2 linked regions of the Drosophila melanogaster genome follow. The gene in region 2 interacts genetically with the main gene of each other region. Each region holds a gene or a part of one and is shown on either strand. Other genes may lie near its edges. The genes, in order: Oli and exex.

Region 1 (9,657 bases), on a different chromosome or scaffold from region 2:
CTCAGACTCGTCCTCCGCCCCAGCATCAGCAGCATTTTAATTCGAATTGGTATTGCTCCGGCACTGTTATTGTTGTTTTGTAGCTGGCTTACCACCCCAATCCCCTCTCTCTGGAAAAGTCCTGGGTTCAGGTTCACCCTCGCTGTTTGGTTTCCATTTGATGCTGATAAATTGTAAGTACGCCTGGGTGGGCAGCGGGGTGTTAAGGATTCGCACTGCGGAGGAAGTTGCATACATCGCATAATTTGATAAAATATTGCACGCTTCGCCCTTTGTCTGAAATTATTATTATTTCGCTTCTTTTTTTATTTTTGGTTGTACGCAGAGCGCATATGATGGGCATTAGATGTAATCAATAAGAGCTCGACGCAATCCATTCAGTTCGGCTAATGGATGAGAAATCCTATCAAAGTGGCGAAATCAAATTCTGTGCGTTACAGTTTCCTTTTTTCCGAGCCACGTTTTGTGTGCAAATCGGTAATAATTTAGAGTGTGATGGCTTTCACGGGAATTACATTAAAACAAAGCGAACCGCACAGTATTTTGGGATTTATTCCAAAGCGGTATACTTTTGTAGAACCTATACTAAGAATCTGTGGGTAACTTGCATCAATATGAACAATTAAAGATGAAAATCTGAGCAAGTTACGTCTAAGGTTAGAAAATCATGGACTTTTATCAATTTTTGCACACAAAGCCGACATCAAATCTTTCCTTTTCTGACATACCAATAAAACAAAATCTTCCAATTGCTTTTTGTATTTTGCCTTTGTTAGCTTAAATGGGCCAAGTTTATCTTGGCTTGAAGAACTTGCGGCAAATGGCAAATGGCGAAAGGGCATCAAGCCTGTCAAGCCGGAAATGAGCGATAAATATATCTTCATTCGCTTCTTATTTTGAACGCAAGTCGGCAGCGATTTCCCCAGCGTACAATTGGCACATTTTTTGTATTTCGTTGACGTCTGCCAATAAAAGTAACAAAATAAAATATGGCACTGCCAGGAGTGCGTTCGTGTGTGTGCGTGTGTGTGTGACTGTGGCCTGGGGATCGGAAGTGCTACCTTGAAAACGATACGCTGGGGAATCATTAGGCGAACCGTCATGGCTGCCATAAATATTGCCAATATAACGAAAGCACATCGATAATAAGGTTAGGAAGCCATGCTCGTATATCCAGGAATCAACTGAATCTCCGAAGAGAGGACAAGCCAGGGCGGAGGGCAGAAAAAGCCTCTTCATAAATGTGCCCAATTGGTTTTTCAACAATAAAATGCTAATGATTGATTCACATTGCCCCATGGAGTGCCGTTAGTTCGAGCCAAGGCCCCACAGAGCCAAGGATTCTATGGTTTTGTCTAATTTGCGCATACCCAAACATTAAATTGGGGTTTTCAGGCTTTTGCATTTGTAATTTTGCCTGACGAAAAAGTCAGGGTTGTAAGTTGTCTAAAGCTCGAATGAAAGATACCTTAAAACTAAAGTTCAAAAGCATTTTCCATGATATTTACTGTGATATATTAAAAAACTGCATTAATAGTTAAAAAGTACATTGAATAATTTAATAAAATTAGTTAACAGCGTCACAAAATGAATAGAGCCACTTATGTCCATACCCGCGGTGGCTTAGTTCGAGGGTCATCCATTAACCCATGACAACCCTTTGACGGATCACGAGGTACGAGCCAAAAAATCCCTGGGCTGGCCATTTACAATTGGTCCGCAGTGCGGAACCTAAGCTAATGATGACTGGCATGCACAAATGTACAAATCTTAATTATGCAAATCACGGTCGCGCATAAATTATGCAAATTATAATGAAATTCCTCATTGCCTTTGCCGGACCTGGGATCCGGGAACCCGGATACGGAACAGCGACAAATGCCCATATATATGTATATGGATTGATAAAAATGTGGCCATAAAATGAAAAAACCGAAAATTTAAATTTCGGCTGGCCCGGGGTTGAAAAGTCGAAATGATTGTGTTGGCCGTAGCTGAAGCGCCGTAAATTGCAATGTAAATGCTGCATATATAAACTGAATTAGTCCCAGAACAATTACAACAAGGGAGAGTGCACTGCGATTGCAAATATACCCGATTCCGATCCCGAGCCCGAAACCCAAAAAAAAAAAAAACTCTCACAATCACGCAGCAAATGGTGCATTGCCTAGAGGGGCTGTCCAGATTCCGGATTTCATTGAAAATAATGGCATACGGTGACTGCTGCCCCGAACATCTGACACAATAATTTTCCCTACGAAAGGAGGGAAGCGCAAACAAAGGCCAAATGGAAAAGTTGCCAGCGCAAATTATTAAATTTATCATGCGCGAAGTCATTAGGTCTGTCGCCCGTGCTCGTAGTTTGACTTATTCTAAGGACTAAACGACTGCAGGCAGCTCCACGCACACACACTCCGCCACTTATACATAAATGTCCTGCGAGGCCCGAAGTGTGGAAAGTCATTAGTGGGCATTGCAGTTGACAGGAGGATGGAGATGCTGGCTTTGGATAATAAACATCTGCTTTAGCTATGGAACTTGTAAAATAACAAAGTTTATAACTTTAAAAGAGGCATCTTCGAAAAATTATTTCAAATTTTGACTTAACAATTTACAAGTCGATAAAAAAAAGAATGTTCACAGATTTTTTCGATTAAATTTTATTATTAAAAAAATTCTCTATTGATTGATTTTAAATATTTATCAGAGCAGCACTAACAAAGAATCTTCATCGGACGACTTTTTAAAAAAATGTTTGATTTTCATGATAATTTTGTTAGGTTGTCATTTAAACAGCGGATTTCTAAATATTTCAAAAAATATTTCAATTGAAAAACACTCTTATAATACTCTTAATTGAAAAATGTGTCCTTTTATATTTAAATTAATAAAAATATACCCACACCCAAAGATTGCTTAAAACTAATAAATACAATCAAATAAATAAATATGTGGCCTAGATCTGCCTAGCACTTCCTATCATTTTCCATACCTTTTTCTAGCTTATGCCTTTGCCAACGAAAATATTTGGCATGTGCCATTTATGGCATTGTTCCAGCTTTGAACAATGCGATACCATAATTTCCAGGCAACTCGCAAACGCACAAACTCGCTCACGTAGAGAATGCCATGCAGATGCGGCATCCTCTGAGCTATGCTGTATATGGGCATATAGGCGAAATACTAGGATGCACGGGCTATGGACGGCTATTCGTGGTCCTTGTTCCTCGTTCAACCCCCTAGGACAGGAATCCAGGACTGGCCAGGCGGCCCAGGATCAGCAGGCAGTGAGCATGTGATTAGATTCAGTTTCAATGGAAATTGAAATCACAGACAAAGGAGCGGACCCGGCGGATTCAGGGTGCGAGGGGTGGTGATGGGCCATCAGGGTTGAAAAGGAGCGAAGCGATAAAAATCCTGAACAACAAGAAAAGTGAATTTTCGGACAGGCAGGGCAAAGGCATTAAAAACTTCATACACTTGTAAAAAATTTGACTGCACTAAATAATATTCAACAATTAAATGCAACTTTGAGAGATAACAAAAGTTTTTGGTTTTCGTTACAATCAAGTGTGGTTATAGTTAATTATTACTTAACCAATTGAAAAATGCAGACTTTTATTTAATATACAAAATAATGATTAATAATGAATAGATTATTAATTAGTATGATTTTATACCATTTTTAAATGCAAATATGTAATTGTTAACTTTTCAATAGCAGATTAGATTTATGTTAGAAATTATTATTATTTTGTGTAGGGTATATCTGATGCTATATGTTATGTTTCAAAAAGGTTTCGATCATTAGTAATCATTTTTTTTTCTTAGTGCTGAAACTGTGACTCATTCACCTTTGTGAGTATTGGTAATAATCGTGCTGTATGTATTGGTGTGGATGCTGCATTATGCGAAGCCCAACCACTAAACGTCAACCACCGGCGTCGACACCCGACCCACATTTTATATAGTGGCTCATAATATTCCTTCTGCAGAAAGAGATTAACACCAAACGGCGACGGTGGCGTCGGTGGCAAAAAGTTTATAATCATCCTCGCTGACAGAGCGAAAGAGACGGGCGATTGGAAAGCATAGGCGGAGGCAGGGAGAGAGAGAGAGAGAGTGAGCGGAGAAAATCGGAAAATCGTTATGCGACTACTATAACCCACCACAAAATCGCGGTCGTCTCTGTTGTTGCCGGGCACCTCACACTCGCGCATCGATTCCGATTGCGATTCAGGATCTGAATTTTTTGCCTGGTTTGTGGTGCGTGCGATTTTTAAAAATGTTTAAATCCGCAATTTCTTTCTCCGTGCTCTGTGCTCTTCGTCCCCTTCGTACACCGGCGAACTTGTGATTTGTGGTTAATTTAAATTAATAATCTTTTAAGTGTGTCATGAATTAACTGCAAGTTAAATAAAGTGCTGCGTCGATTTTGCATATTTTATAATCCATTTCGTTGGGTTAATAATTGCCAAATTTATTATTTATATATATTGACGTATAATTTTAAAGTTTATTGTTTTCTGAAGTGCTGCGCTCCTAAATAAATTTAATGCCGCTAAAATTGTATTCGCCATGAAACATCATATTAAACCATCCCTTAAATTGGACTACTACACAGCGCCACCTATGAAAAGCTTTGATAAGCTTATATTCATCTTGTTAATCTGACTACCGCGTAATATTTTGGCTTTGAATTTCCGAAAGGCTTAACGATTATTTTGCTTTAATTAAATTTAAGGAATACCTGACAGACGTTTGCAATTTGTTAAACCATTTCGGGTTAAAACACAAAACAGATGCTCCACCTATAAAAAGCTTTGCTAACCTATTAAATACATAAAATTCCGACAGATGGCGCTACCGAACAGCTGAGCATACGAGTATTCACCCCTATTTTTTAGTTTTCTTATGCAACCCTGCATCATAATAACTTTGATTTGCAAGGACTACCCTAAAAGATTACACATCCCTTCAACCTTTTTTTCACAGCTGGAAAAGTCCCATAAAATACAAAAAAATGGATCCCTCGAATCTTGCTTTTGGTTTTCCCGGTCTCCCCAACCACGGACACATGCCAATACCTCCTACAGCCAATATGCTTGGTGGCCAGCATCCAGCACCCACCGCCAGCCCACCACAAAGCGTCCCCGGCCGTCGGACGCCACTTGGATCGGTTGGTCTGGGTGGTTTCTATGCCCAGGGAATGGGCATGTCCCAGCAGCCACCGACGGATGAGAACAAACCAGGGCCCAGTGCTCCGGAGAAGCCATTGAGTCCCACGGCCGCCGCCATCGCAGCCATTGCCATCAGTGGTGGCACCACCACGGTGGCCGTGTCCAGTGGTGGCGCCAGCGGAAGTGGCTCCAACAGTGGCAAGCAGAAAAACCGCCAGGGAAAGACGGTAAGGCTGAACATAAATGCCCGGGAACGACGAAGGATGCACGATTTGAATGATGCCCTTGATGAGCTGAGAAGTGTGATTCCCTATGCCCATTCGCCTTCTGTGCGAAAGCTGTCGAAAATAGCCACCTTGCTGCTGGCTAAGAACTACATTCTGATGCAGCAAAATGCTCTCGAGGAGTTGAGAAGGTAACGTAGTTCATTACCACGCTCAATAGGAATTATTAACATATATGCTTTTACTTTTAGACTTTTGGCCTATATACAAAGCACCACGGGAGCAGCGCCACTGGATTTGGGTGCATTTCCGGCGGCTGCCAAGTTGCAGGCTCTTCTTCAAGGACCTCACAACGAACCACCGACTAGCAGCAGTTAAATAGGAGTGGGGGCCACCATAAACTATGGTTCAACTGATAAGCAATCCATTAATGAGCAATACTTTTAAGTCAATTGGAAAGCAAATGCCAAATACTTGTGTACTAGTCAGACGAAAGGAGGTTGATAAGGAGCCTCTTATCAGAGCAGCCAAGTGAAAATCTGTTCAGTGATATTTATTTTTGTCATAAGCATTTCTTATTTATGCATTTACCCAATGTCAACCAATATGTGTAAGATGAATATTACCGAATAAAGTATTATTGAAGTAGAAAGTATGTCGTTGGAAAAGGGTTTGGTCATTTAGGTTTACCCATCAGCACTGATAGAAGCCTGTCATTTTTCAGAATCATCAAACAAACAAACAAAATAAGAGTTTCAAATACTCAAACACGCCCAACCCAACCAACCATTTATAGTCATCAGATAACAAACATCAAAGAGCACAATCAAATTTAAAATAATATAATCTTAGATCCGTTTCAAGTCTTGGCAAAAATATTTAACATATAAATATACATACATAGTTGTCTGTATGGTTTTTGATGATTAAGCAAAAGCCGTTTAGCGGAATTCGAAATAAGCGGATTACAACTAGAAAACTAGTCGATGAATACTCTAAAAATATATATATATATAGACATATACGACATGGAGGACGGCGGCGAAGGCGATCGGTGCAAAATCGGCTGGCATTATATTATTCCGGTATGCCCAGGGACAAAACCTTGTTTTTGCCAGTGCGAAAAATGTGCTGCTTGGTGGGCAGTTGACCGATCAAGAAATCCTTCATCATTTCGATGGCATCCCCCGAGTGTCCTGTGCCATGGAAGGCGATGGTGGCATCTCGCCCTGCGTGATCCATAATGACGTCGTCGCCGCCGGGATGATCCCTTAGAAAGTGTGTCACATCGTAGACCCTATCGTAGATTACCACCCAGCAATCGTCGAAGCTGTCGTGCTGGGCCACCTCCTCCAATGCGATCTCCGGCAGATCTTCCAGTTTTAAACGTTCCTTTTTGCTTGGTACAACGACCACCTGATTACTGGACTTTCCATGTCCCAAGGGCACAATTCTCAGCGATTGCAAGAGGTTCGTCAACGCGGATGACATGTTGTAAGTATGCAATTACTTTCACTTTTACTAATATTTGATACAACGATTTGTAATGCCGCCCGATCACTTCAGACAGCCGGCAATCGATTCAAGTTGAGTTCTGCTTGGTCGGCTTCAGTTCCAGTTTTACTTGGGGTCTTGAGTGTCTTTCGTGTGCAGCCACCGGTACTGGAGTGTCATTCATGCCTTGGATTGTAATCGTTTTATAAATGACAACACGTGAGTCGATCGATGGAGCCGACAGCATGGTGATAAGACTTCGTGTCCAGAGAAGCGAAGCTCTTATAGATCGGTTTCTATATAATATATAATTATATATATATATATACATATATGTATGTTCAACCGAACTGGTTTGCATCTACATATGTTCATGGGAGGGCTAGGCATTGCACTGAGATTGCGAGATTTTGCAATAATGTTTTGTGGTCACTCGTACTCATATGAGTCAATTTCCGAATATGCTCGTAAAGACGAGCATAAATTATATATTTCTCTGTTAATCGGATTGCTCAGTGAGCTAATTACTTGCTACCTTATAAATTTAATGGGCCAGCAATTATTAAAAGGGAGACATTTAACGCGCCTATCAGCATTACAATTGATTTATTGGCACAAGTCAAACGTGCATCGGGCGAATCAATTACGTCTACTCGAACCGTTTGATCGCCAGTCATTAAGGCAATCAAAATAAATTTTGGGTTAATAGCCTGGAGTTATTTACTTTTAATACTTAAATGCGTTTTAAGTTTGCCAAAAATCACGATTTGTGTCAAGCCACGTTTGTTCTAAATTCTAATGGGAACAGAGATAATGACTTCAATATTATCGCTCACTACAACTTTGAACTTGAAATTGGAATGGATTCGGAAATTATGCCACGCTTTTGAACTATTTGAACCATGGGAATGATTTTAATTTTACATGGAGTGAGTACGTTTAATCAATAATTATTACGAAACTAAAGATCTGATGAAATTATTCAGACTATTTAATTTCCCATTTATTAAATTCCAGACAGAACGCCATTCACTAATTCTGTACATTGTATTGTATAAATAGAAAATATTGCAAAGCTAAGGAAATAGTTCAAACTACGCAATATAAAACATAAATATTATTCAAGTAAAAACAACAAGAAATTATTTCTAAATAATAACTTTTAAGACGTCACGATTCAATTGTTATTGATCATTTATTATTTTCAATTGAGTTCAAGTTTGATGTGTGGTTTTAACAAGATTTGGTAATCTAATATGCTAGCATCTCAGTGTTAAGATCAGCATTATCACGTTAAGTAATTAACCGCAAAAATATTCAAAGTCGTAACTGAACGAGCTCTTTAAATGGGCTAAACCATTTGACTTTGACTTTGAGGTTTACATGAACTAGGTGTATCCATATTAAATATCTATTGATGGTTAGAAAAAGCCTGCGAATAGCATTGCTAATAAAAGGCAGAATATATTTCAGTTCTAAGAGGTTATCATTCTAAGTGTGCGTGATTGCGTACATTTTTGAAAAAAACGCGAATCTTTCTTCGACAAGAATATTTGAATAATTGCCTAGTGTTATCAGAGTAGTCTAGAAATATGTAGGGGAAGAGATTATAATTTAGTTCTGGCGATTTTTTGCAAAAATGTTAAGATAAGGCTGAATAAGTACTAAGTACTTTCAAAACCATTGTCAAGTCCACGGACGGAATTAAAAGTGACTATTCATTGGTCTTTTCTTGTATTTGTATTTAAAGTTTATTAGCTATATCACTTCTAAAATAAGAATAAATCAAAGTTCAACGAAGTCCGAATATTATAAGTTATATTTTCTTTTTTACCATAATCAAATTTTGGCAAAACAGGGAAAAGAAGCAATACAAATATTTAAATAGATAACGACAAGAATTGCAATTCATTATAAATAAATACAATAAATATTTAAAAAGTATTATATAAATAAATCAACAGTCAGGATTATATGCATGTTTCTTAAGTAAACACAATGATTCTGAAAATAATATTATATGAGTCGTACAAATTTATATATTTCTTTTCATATATAGAAATAGGTGGCAACGCCCAATGTAACGGAAATGCTAAAAAGCTTCTTGAAAACATAAGCTTTTGGGAAAGGTTAACCGATTCGGATTTCGCGGGCTTTTTTCTAAAATTGGCCAGCTGTTGCTCTTTGGGAAGCTTTTGTATAAAAAAAGGCTTTTCCTTCCGGTAGTTGGATTACTTTTTGGCTAAAACGGGTGGCCAATATTTAATTATTACTTCCTTATATTGGTATATTAAGTATGCAAATAAATTTTATTTCGAAAGACACTTTTTTAAACTAGGGATTTTAACGGACATTTCCGTCAGGGACTCGAAGTTTCCCATTTGCATTTGTGTGGTGTTTCCATCAGCCCATCTGTGTTTTGGGTGCGAAAGTGTGAGTGTGATGGAACATGACATCGGGTAACTGCGTGTAATTTTTGGTGAACAACAACACAGTCGAGTTTCAGCAACGCTCTGGCCAAGTTGTTAAGGCGCGTGAATAAAAAAAAAAGCGAAAATTCAACCGCTTCCAGTTATCTCTTTACTTGGCTAAATTTATTTGATGTAATTGACCAATGTGAGCAGGGGATTATTGAGTTAAAAATTAATAAAAGCCCGCTAATACGGAAATTGCTTCGAAAACTCGTTAACAACACGCACAATATGCATGCCACTGTGTAGAGCAAATTGCGCATACGCCACGTTGAACTGTCGTATTCG
Region 2 (11,070 bases):
CAATGTGCGCATATGCATTTTGCCCATCAATTAGAAGGGATTTGCCCAACGCGGCAGCAATTAAAAACAAAATGCCGCCCATCAATTGTGATAGCAATCGAAGCCAATCAATAGGACACCACCAGCATCCTGACCCTCGCATCCTGTCCATCCTTTCAGCTCCAGTTCACCCGCTCCAGCTGGCTGAGTAAACAGCCATTAGCTAGATGGCTAACGAGCTATAACCGCTTATGTAGCCCCAACCCCAATGTGCCGCGATCCCCAGACAAATGCAAATTTGACAATAATAAAATCCAACATATGACAATAATCGCACATATTTGACAATAAAATCGAAAATCGAGGCAAATTCGATTGAATATTAGCGTAAAAATGCACCCAATGCCAATTTATAGAAATTAGAGGGGTTGGCTGGGCAGTGGATGGACGCTAAATCAGTTAAGCAAACATCACATATAACAAAATTAAGCATAAAATGTGATCATCTGTGTTGACATGAAGATCAAATTGGAACCCGGGACTAGAACGATAAATACCAGTCGACCCAAGAGGGTTGTCATCCACTGAGAAAAGTAAGCACGTTGGATTTATCGAATTATGAAGAAAATAGGAAAAATATATAACTGTAGTATTGATATATAAATCAACATAAGTTTATAACTTAACAATACAACATAAGTGTATGACAACTTTTGCGAAATTGATATTGATTAAAATAAGTATGAATTATAGTTAGAAAACATTAAAGCCAAATTAAATACTTTTGAAGAGATTATACCTTCCAGCTACAACAGATAGTTATTTTTTTTTTCAGTGCATCTGATGACGTTGCCCAACAGGGGATAACCAAATTGTAACACCAGCAACAATAGCAACAAAGTCAGACGAGGAGGGAAACATTTGACAGCGGAGCGGGAAGTGAACCCTCAATTCAATCGTCGATTTTCTGGGTGTGTGCCTTCCTCAACTCAACGCTTGTGTGTTTATAGAAATTATAACGCAAATTTAATTTGCAACAGATGCGACAATCAGCAGCAGGCATCCCGAAGGACAGCATCCAGGAATATCCATCCCGAATACAATTCCAGTTCTACGGTTTGATCTTTGTCACCCTTTTATGCTCTCGCCGGTTTTTCATTGAAACTCCTCCTGCTGCAAATTACCCGCTAATAGCTCAATGAATTGAAATTAGGGGAAAATCGTCGTCCCCTTTCCCCTTTTCAATTGTATTGTGTTCTGGTTCAACACATTTGGCCACTTCAAGGCAAATCAAAATAAAGCGCAGCATCAGCAACCGCAGCCCAGGGTGCACAGTGGGTCAAGTTCGGGGCAGAAAGGTGCCAAGGGATCAGTAATTAAGGAAGGATGCTTAAAATCTCAATATAAAAATATTTTTGTAATGTTTTTTTTTTTTTGAGTGTTTATTATATTTATAAACTAATAAATAGTTTACAAAACTATAGAAAGATGTTATATTTATGATCTCTAAATATTAAGCAGTAAAGTTGTATAGCTGTCGAAAAGCTGCTGAGCGAAGGATAGAAACCAACCCAATTTGGAAATTCTTGTTGAGTAGCTAATATCTGATAGATAAGTTTAAATATGAGTTAAAACTGTATATGCCTTTCATACGATTTACCCACTGTACCACACATATGTACCCTTCTATAGAAATGTGTGCTCCACTCATTTACTCAGCCAAGAATGCGCTACGTGTTTAGTGGCAAGCAGAGGAACGAAATGAATTTTTATTAGCCCGTCAGAAAACAAGAAACTGCTGCATAATAACAACAATAACGGCAACAACAGCAACAGATCAAACAACCAATAATAACAATATAAAGCATACTTCAAGGCAAACCAACAGCGTCGATAAAACCCGTAAAGTCCGTCGTGTGCGAGTCTATGAAATACTTGAGAATTACGTGATAAAGTGGACAGACGAGTTCTCTTCATCAGAATGGAAGTGGGAATGGAAATGGTACTGGGTATGGGAAATGGGAAATGCAATCGAAAGTGGCTAGAACAATACCAAGTGAGTTCGCACTTTATGTCATCTTCAATGAGCAGGATAATGGTATGTATAGTAATAAAGGAACTAAATCATATATTATTTGATTGCTTGATAAAAGATTCAAAAGAAGCTTACATTAAAAATTACGTTGATAAGAACTAAACATATATATATATATATATAATAATTTATATTTTATGTAAATACTTATCAATCACTTCAGTAGCTGATGAACGTTAAACCGAATTCAAGCGGTTATCAAAAACTTGTATTGTATTGTATTCCAACCAATTGTATGGTATTGCCTGATAATAACACTTTATATGACTCTTATTCTGCCGGAAATCGAAGCTCACCATGATTTTTTCAATTTGCCACACTCGCAGGCCAAAAAAAAAAATAAATAAACCAAATCGATATCAACAAGCCAAGAAACTAAGAAGTGCGTTCGTTGTTCGCCTGAAGTTGGCTACATTTTAATTAGCGAAATAATTTTGAAGTGATACTATAAATTTAGTCATAATTATTGTCTCAGCAATTAACTTGATTATCTGCGCACATTTTGATTTATTTGCTGCGATAGGCATTATCGCAAGGGCGAGAAATTGAGTAGAATTTTGATTGGTAGTATACGAATATGTGGCTAATAGCTCTTTCTTTATGGCCGTCGTGTATTTATAAATTCGAGCCACAGACAGCTCTCAAAGCCAGTCAGATTAGATATTTGCTAGAATATATATAAATTATGTTTATTTCTACTTGTTACTTTGGGATATTTTTCAGTGCATTTCGCTTCATACATTTTTCTGGCAATCGTAATCATTGCTTTGCTTTTTATGGCAAAAATTAGTTTATGGTTTTAGTTGTATTATCAAAAATTCTTCAAATTCTCTTGAATTAAGTGGAATAGTTCTCAGCAAGTCAATCGTGTAGATTTCCAGTTAATTTAAGTTTTATTTAAAGTAGTTGTTATAAGTCATATCTTACCTTGCCACATTTGTGTTCCTTAATTTATCCCAATTATTAAAATTTGTAAGCTTATATTTTTAGTTATTTATTTTTTCCAATTTTGATTTCGAAAATAAAATCTAGAAAATTAACTAATTCAATCGCAATGCGTTATTATACACTTTATATTTGTTATTTTTCTTAATGGCTCTTGTTGTTTTCGTTAATATTAAATACTACAATTACATAATTACAATTATTTACACAAATTACACAAGCAAATTGTAAATTACCAACTAAACTAATCGCATTTAATGTAATTTATTTACTTAAGCATTACTCATTTAGTTTAGATTTATGTTTACTTTGTTATTTATGTTCGTGTTCCTATTTAGATTTATGTTTATGTACATAAAGGGGCTAAAAAGAAGGGGGTAATGAATTTAATTTATATTTCTTGTTTACATATACACACACATATATCACACAGTGACCAGTTGTTGTGGCACAAAATAAAAATAATAATGCGAAATCAAAGTGCAAAAAACCCAAAAAAGATTTAGACCGATTGCGCGAATGAAACTGGGGGCAAGAATACAGGGTGTCTCGTTTTAATGGTGGGACGGCGGTTTGATCGCGGCATGACTAGATTGGAGACCACTCCTCCAGATCCAACAGATCCTCCGGCTGCTTCTCCTTACTGCTACAACTCCTAACTGGCGGCACTGGGCGTCTGTTGCTGCTGCTGCTGCTGCTGGTTGGCCTTTGCCCGCTCCTTGGCCTCCTGCTGCGCCTTCTTGGAGCGCTTCCACTTCATCCGACGATTCTGGAACCAGATCTTCACCTGCGTCTCGGACAGCATCAGACCGCTGGCCACCTCGAATCGTTTGGGCCGACTCAGATACTTGTTCTGCTTGAATTGCTTCTCCAGCTCGAGGAGTTGCTGCGATGTAAAGGCCGTTCGTGGTCTCCTGGTCTTGCCCAGAATCGCATGATGCGGATAGGCGGCCAGTTCGGGAATTCGATGGTGCAGCATTCCGGCGCGGGCCAGGAATTCGAATTGCAGCTGCGACGGCATGAAATTATGACCCATGGGTATCTGCATGGATAAATAAGGAAAATACGATGCAAATGATTTGTATGATAGTATTGTATATATTGATCTATTTCGTATTAAAATTTTTATTACAATAGTTACTTTGTAATATTGATATATATTTAATGTTTTACTTACCGGAATGGGTTTCCCTGAGGGATCCAGAGGTCTGTGGAAGGCGGATCCACCTTGGGCCAGCAGCTGGTAGGGATGTCCTCCTGCGTAGAGCGGAAAATCCTGGGGTCTGATGGGACTGTGGGGTGGTATTGGCTTCTTGAACTCGTCGTGGAAGTCGGACATGCGCATGGACAGATGCTGGGGATGCAGTGCACCGTGGGGCTGCTGCTGATCCTCACAACCGGGACTGATGGGCGGACTGGAGCGGTGCGACGAAGTGGGCGACTCTGATCTGCAAAAATAAAAAAAATTGTGGGAAAAAACTTAATGGGGCACCCTTTATTGCGAATTATCTAACCAATCGATTTCGACAATCGAAATTACGCGACACATTTTGAAAACAATTAATATTACCGCCGCCCTCCCTCTAATTTGTTTGCTTCTTTGTACACAATTCGCACTTTAAATTAGCCACTCACACACTTGTGACGGCAGACACATGGCGTATACGTAATCTCTGTGGCTGATGACCAAATTGGAATTGACCAATTGAATACATTTTTCATTGCCATATTTTCGAGTGCCAGCAAAGCTGCTTTGGAGCTTCGCTGGGGCTTCGCTTTGGCTTTCAGAATGGTTTTTACCAAGTGCCACGGTTTTGTTTGGTAGCCAGCCAAGGGATTTCAACAAGAAGTTGAGGGATTTTTGGTAAGAGCTGCATTTTTATACGAATCGTTTTTAAATTCTGGGTATTAGCAAGCAAAGTAATGCATATGAGTAATAATATGAGGCAAGTGTTCGTATTAGGCGAAAAATTGTATTATTTAACCCAAAGCTATTGGTAAGACTTTGTAATAAGTGACTAATTAAATTATCAGGACAGATAGTATAGACAATCAAATGAATAGTTTCATAAACAATTGAAATTTATCATGAGTATAAATTAATTACTAAAACAAATTAAGTAATAGTGATAATAAACAAGTTACCTTTACCTTTTTAAAAACATTTTATAGTGTAACGTTATTAGTAATAAACTTTATCTATTTTTTGATCACTCATAATAAGTTTTTCAGGCCTTATTAATATGCTTTTCTTTTCAAACCCCCTCTGAAATCTTCCTTATAGTTATGCTCATCCCAAATTTCTTTACTCACCTCGACATGCCGTCGGGACTGGGTGAGTCGTACTCCCTGGAGTCCCGGATGCGCTGCAGTGCCTCCTGTTCGCTGATGCCGCCGGCGGCCGAGGCAGCCGCCTGAGCAGCTGCCGCCGCATTGGAGGCGGTCACAAAGGCATGATTGAGTTCCGCCTGATCCCGGGCATAGTGCAGGGCAGCCAGACGATCATCCACAATGATGGGCTGTGGCTCACCCGACTGGTGTTGGCTCTTGGCCAGCAAAGCATCGATGCAGAAGGATTTCTTGGGCTGACTTTGGGCGGGTGGCAGGAGTGTGGTTGTGGCCATGGTGGCTCCACTGTGGCTCAGGTGATTGGCAGCGGGTTGCGGTGAGACGGGCGGTGGTGCAGCCGCTCCCGATGGCACACCTGGTGGATTTGCCGGTAACATAAGGGGCAGTCGTGGCAGAGGATAGGTGCCCAGGGCGGGATGTGGATGTGGCACATGATGCGGTGGCGGGAAACCCTCCACATAGAGACGAGGATGCGGCGGCGGTGGATGTGAATGTGGCGGACCAGTGCCCACGGGCATGGGAGCCACTAGTAGAGGCATCTGTGAACTCTGACCACTCTCCGTTTGGCTGCTATCCTGTGCACCACCGGGACTCAAGGCCGGTGTATAGGTGCTAACTGGTGATCCTGTGGTGGCCGCCGAATGCGTGGGACTGGCTGCCGGCGGACTGGGTGTTATCTGGGATCTGGGCGAGAGTGTTGATTGATTGCTGCCCTGATCGTAGTCCTGGGCAGGTGGCGATGATCGCTGATGACTGCGCTGATGGTGCAGACTGCTGCTGTGGTGCTGAATGTGGCTAAGTAGCAATTGCGACGGCATTGAGGTGCTACTGCTGGCGGTCAGCGGCGGTGGAGGCGGCTGTTGCGACACTTGGGCACTGGACATGCTTCACTCGGTTCACCAAAGTTCAGTTTCTATACTCTTTCGAATATATGTATATATTCTCAAAATTTCCAAACACTTTCCAACACGTTTCGAAATCGACGATTTTACGAACACGCGTGCGAACGCGAGCTGTGATTTCCTGCGAAGCGAACTCGACGAGCGCTCATTAACGACTGTGCGCTGCTGGTAGCCAAACGTGGTATCATATACGCGATACGGAATGCCAGTGTGAAGCAGCAACGGTGGTGCAATCAGTACCGCTCTGCTTCTCTCTCTCGCTCTCTGGAAACCCGCTTTCAAGATGGAGTATCTGGCAGTTAACACGAAAGCGCGACAGAGATAGCCTGATGGCATGGGGCGTGGCTAAGTGGCTGAAAATGTCCATCGAAGGGGCGTGGCTTTGGTGAGAAAGAGTGGCTAGGGACAGAGGGGGGTGAGCTTGGCAGCAGCAAATTTCATATAAATTGTTGGAAAAACGAGGCTATAATTGCCATCATTATGGAGTGTTGAGCAACTAGCAAGTTCAGCAGGCAAAAGACGAAAGAATCTTCATAATCAACTTGAGTGGAGAGTGGAAAGTGGGAGTGCTCGGAGGCTCGAAAGGTCCTTAATGGCTGCCAAAGGGAGTGGTGGTATGGAGGAGGGCCAATAGGTTATAGGAAGTCTGGCAGATGATTAGGCCAGCAATTAAGGCACTCGACGAGCAGCGATCCACGATCCACAAAACGGCCAAAAGGCAGCTTTAAGCCCGGCCAGAAATCAATAATCTCGATAACAATAAACGTCTCGTTTCATGGCGCTTTTATAACTCGGTTGGCAGTTTGGCGCTACCGCCGTAATGCCCCTATAATGCATTTTCTTTACGACCTACGCTCAGCCAGATGAGACGATTTTAATGTTCCCTTGATGGATTACTAAGTGGACATGAATGGTTGGCCAAGTGGCTCAGAGTTAAGAAGATGGCGGGTGGCTATAAATGAATTGAATGCGGTAGCAAAGGACATCAAATTGAATGGAAGTCTATGGAATACATTAACATAGGCGTTATCTTACGATTTTAGATACAATCGATTTTCACCTTGATAACTTGATATTGGGCAGATTAAATAGGCGGATTTCTCCTTACAAGGGATTTCTCTTTACTTTAATCTAATATTAAAGATAAACATATTTAACTAATTCCCAATTTTAAGCTGACAGAAAGACAAAGCAATTGAAAAGGAGCAGACCTTGGAACTCAAATAAATAGAACCCATAATATGTACTACATACATATATAATGCAATGTCCAGACAGGAAAAGAGTTAAGTGAGTCCAGGGAATGGAGCAAACTGTTCGCTAACAAGAAACGTGCCAAAGTATATTTTCCTTGCCCACGTACAAAAATGAAGCCCGACTGACTCACTCCCAATTTTCGGGAAAACCCAAACTCAAGCCGAAAATGTTTTCCCAACAACTAACTCAAAATTAGTGCGATGTCTGCAATGACGACTGATTGCTGTTGTTTCTATCGCCCCCCCGCGTACCCTCCACCAAGTTTCTATCTGGTTCTTATTTTATTTTCATTATACCATATTTATCTACTCATCCACGTGCAGTTAACTAACATTTATGGGTGGTGCACAAGGGGGGGAAACGTGGAACATGACCTGGCAATGGTCCAGCCTCGTTTGTTCTGGCCCCCCGTATGATTTGTGTTATTCCGGAATAGTTTATTTTATATAACAACACAAACATAGAGCGAGTCGAAGGGTAAAGGGATGAGATTGGGGCCTTTGGTTGGTTCGAAAGTGGAGGGATTTTATGTTGAAAGTGTGGGGTTTTGGATTGGTTTTCGGTTTTTAGTTCGCATTTTGTTTATCTGATTCCATTTTGATTTTGGGGAGAAATGGTTACGTAAATATGCAATTAGAGTTAAAATGTTGAAAAGGTAGCGTTATGGGTAAACTTGATTTAAGTTAGCTTAAGTGCTAATTGGAAATATTAGCACTTTGATTCCAAAAATTTAATTTTTAAAATTTTAAAAATGTAATTTTTAAACCCAGCAGTCCTTGAAGAAATACACACATTTGGTATCCGATATGTTTGGGAAACTTTTTTGGATTATAGCCGCTTATATTACCAACGTCCACAGTTTCTATGAAAAAATGCAATGTGCGAATTGTTCGAAGATAAACCGAGATTGCGACGTTACCACAACCGGATGGAGTTGTGAATTCGAGATTGATGCCCTAAAGTTGGATCCTCATGTAAATTCGTCCAAATTACCGCCATTTCTACAGACTTGCCTGCCAGCCGGAATGGGTTTTGTAAAAGAAAGTGAGTAGCTTAGCCATAATACTTTCATATCACTTACTAGTTCCCAATTTATAGGGCCAATACTCGGGTATTGCTGTTTCTGGTCACCGGAAATGGGATGCCAAAAGCTCAAAAGAAAAGGTGCAGATATTGAGAATAATGTACGTTGTCATATGTGCAGTCGGGCGATTTGGTCATCGTTGATGGAAAATAAGACATGTCCCTGCGGAAATTGGTTTGTAGACGAAGATAACAAGGCCACTAATCATAGGATATCAAATTTGATAGTCTTATCGACATTAATATGCACATTACTACTTTTGTAAGCCAAATAAATATTTAAATCAATTTTTTTAAAGCACGAAACACAAAATACGGGGAACAGCCAATCAAAAGAAATCTTTTTTTCAATGGAAAATCAATCCAAAAATACTGCCATCAAATTGCAGTAGCAACCCCATAAATTCTGTTTTGGATCAATGATGAATTTTTCTGACATATTAGGCTAATCAGGCGTTAAATTTGCCAGCAAATATCACTAATAGAAATCAACAATAAAAATAAATCGTCACATATGCTGCTGCAATTTAGCTGATGCGGTCAACATATAGAAATGAAAGAGAGGGATGAACCGAGTATGAAAGAGATGGGTAGCACATATCCTGAACCTGGCATTTCTCCCTTTACGTCGTCGTGTTAATTCAGCCGATAAGTGAACAATAATGCCAGAAAATTTCAACAGATTTCCAGCGCCTTAGTTAGCTAAGTAAACAGAAGTTGCAAGGTTGGCAAAAAGGGATGAAGGCGGAGGGTTGATTGAGTTGACTTTGGCACTTGTTTTCTATCCCCCTTTATAGATACATCAAAAAGTGGAAAGGTTTTTCAAAACATTTCTTAAACAATAACCGCAAAAAAGTGAAAAACAAACCACGGCACCCTTCATCATCATGATCATCATTGGAGTTGCTCATTAATCACAACATCACAACCGCACCCCAAGTGAATTGCAGTTGATAATTGAGCAAATATTGATGTGCAAATAATTGGCATTAAATTGCGTTATCAATAAATAATTTTTACATTTCAGCAGCTACAAAGATACACAGATACGGCTACTTCGTCCAGTTGTATCTACAAAGTGCCTGCCATTCCAATTGGCTGGCTCATTATGTTGACAGAGTTGTGGGCACAGCGAGTTCACTATACAAGTGTGTGAATGCAAATTATTACTGCACTTTGATATTTATTATTTGCATTTTTATTCCACCCACCCACAGTTTGGCTTGGATTTTCTTCTTTTCGTGCAATGTTTTAAACAAACCCAGAAACGGTTCATTGTTGTGACCCCAATGATTACCAAATGATTGCCACATTTTCTAAGGAGGTAAATTAAAATGTTTAATTTTCGATTGCAAATTGAATGTTTCCCAACTAATTTACAAACTCGTGGAACTTAACTGCTGATTTTTCCATAATTTTTCCGTTTTATCATGCTTAACGAAACAAACACGTCATTGTAAATCAACGTAAGTACACAGACGAAGTGAAATAAATATTTTTTAATATGGCAATGCAAAAGTTAATTTCATTTATATACACACAATTTTCAATGGAATTTTTGCATTGAGAAAATGACTTTTAAATGACTGCGAGTCCAGGAAAGAGAGCCCACCCCAAAAACTCCGCCCCAAATACCGCTGATAAAGTTTATAATTGAGTTGTGTTTTTTCATTAAGTGCGCGAATTGATTTGCTTTTGTTATTGGCTCGCCAACGAAGCAAACTTATTAAAAACTGATAAACTCATTTCAGCTTTTCCCCTTCCTCGTATTTCTTTATTATTTTTAATTGGTATCAGAATTATGGGAATCATTAATGAGATAATACCGCCACCACTGATAATCCTTGGTGTGGGGCTTAGAGAGGAAATTGTTTACTGAACGATTGCAAATTATTATTTTCATTAGACTACGTTAGAATACAATTTAGTTTCCGCTCGGCAAAGATTAGCGCTTTAAGGTTTTAGGGCCGTTTGATAGTAATCAATGATTTTCGGTCATCATAAATCTTGCTGATAGTGTTGATGAAAATAAGATTTAAAAGGGTACAGAAGGTAGAGAGGTATTTTTGAATGAACTTACTTTCCGGTTTCTAAGTATGTTGTTTTGTTATTTATTTAAAAAAATCGTAATATATAACTTTTTGCTAGCGTATTGAGTAGTTCTTCTGAATACTTCTGAAAACATATTTCAATTTAGAAAATAAAAAGTTACAATACATGTGCAACAACCCGTGCTAAACGATTGCAGTTTAAGTTTATCTCAGTAATCACGCAATCTTAAAGCAACATGAACGCGATATCTTTATCTGGGTCTGTATCTGTATCTATATCTTGTGTATATGTTTATAGCTTCTGTATCTGCATTGGACTGCCTCATTAGCCACAGCGCAAACAAATTTCCAAGCCGTTGCAAACCGAAAACCAGAGCCAAAACCGAAACCAAAACCCAACCAAGTCGAG

What was found.
Region 1: of exex (region 2) and Oli, changing one enhances a phenotype caused by changing the other (phenotypic enhancement), as found in Drosophila melanogaster (one study listed by BioGRID).

The regions. Positions count from the first base shown.
Region 1 is NT_033779.5:17,585,217-17,594,873, forward strand, and holds Oli (olig family), read left to right. Parts: upstream 1-3,967; 5' UTR 3,968-4,363; exon of another isoform or gene 4,364-4,995; 5' UTR 4,996-5,023; coding exon 5,024-5,595; intron 5,596-5,655; coding exon 5,656-5,782; 3' UTR 5,783-6,051; downstream 6,052-9,657. Other genes in the region: CG6870 (uncharacterized protein), read right to left, coding at 6,482-6,895; Sytalpha (synaptotagmin alpha), read left to right, coding at 7,108-7,117.
Region 2 is NT_037436.4:7,943,548-7,954,617, reverse strand, and holds exex (extra-extra), read right to left. Parts: upstream 6,433-11,070; 5' UTR 6,253-6,432; coding exon 5,333-6,252; intron 4,468-5,332; coding exon 4,197-4,467; intron 4,062-4,196; coding exon 3,675-4,061; 3' UTR 3,055-3,674; downstream 1-3,054. Other genes in the region: CG43880 (uncharacterized protein), read left to right, coding at 8,334-8,571, 8,626-8,876.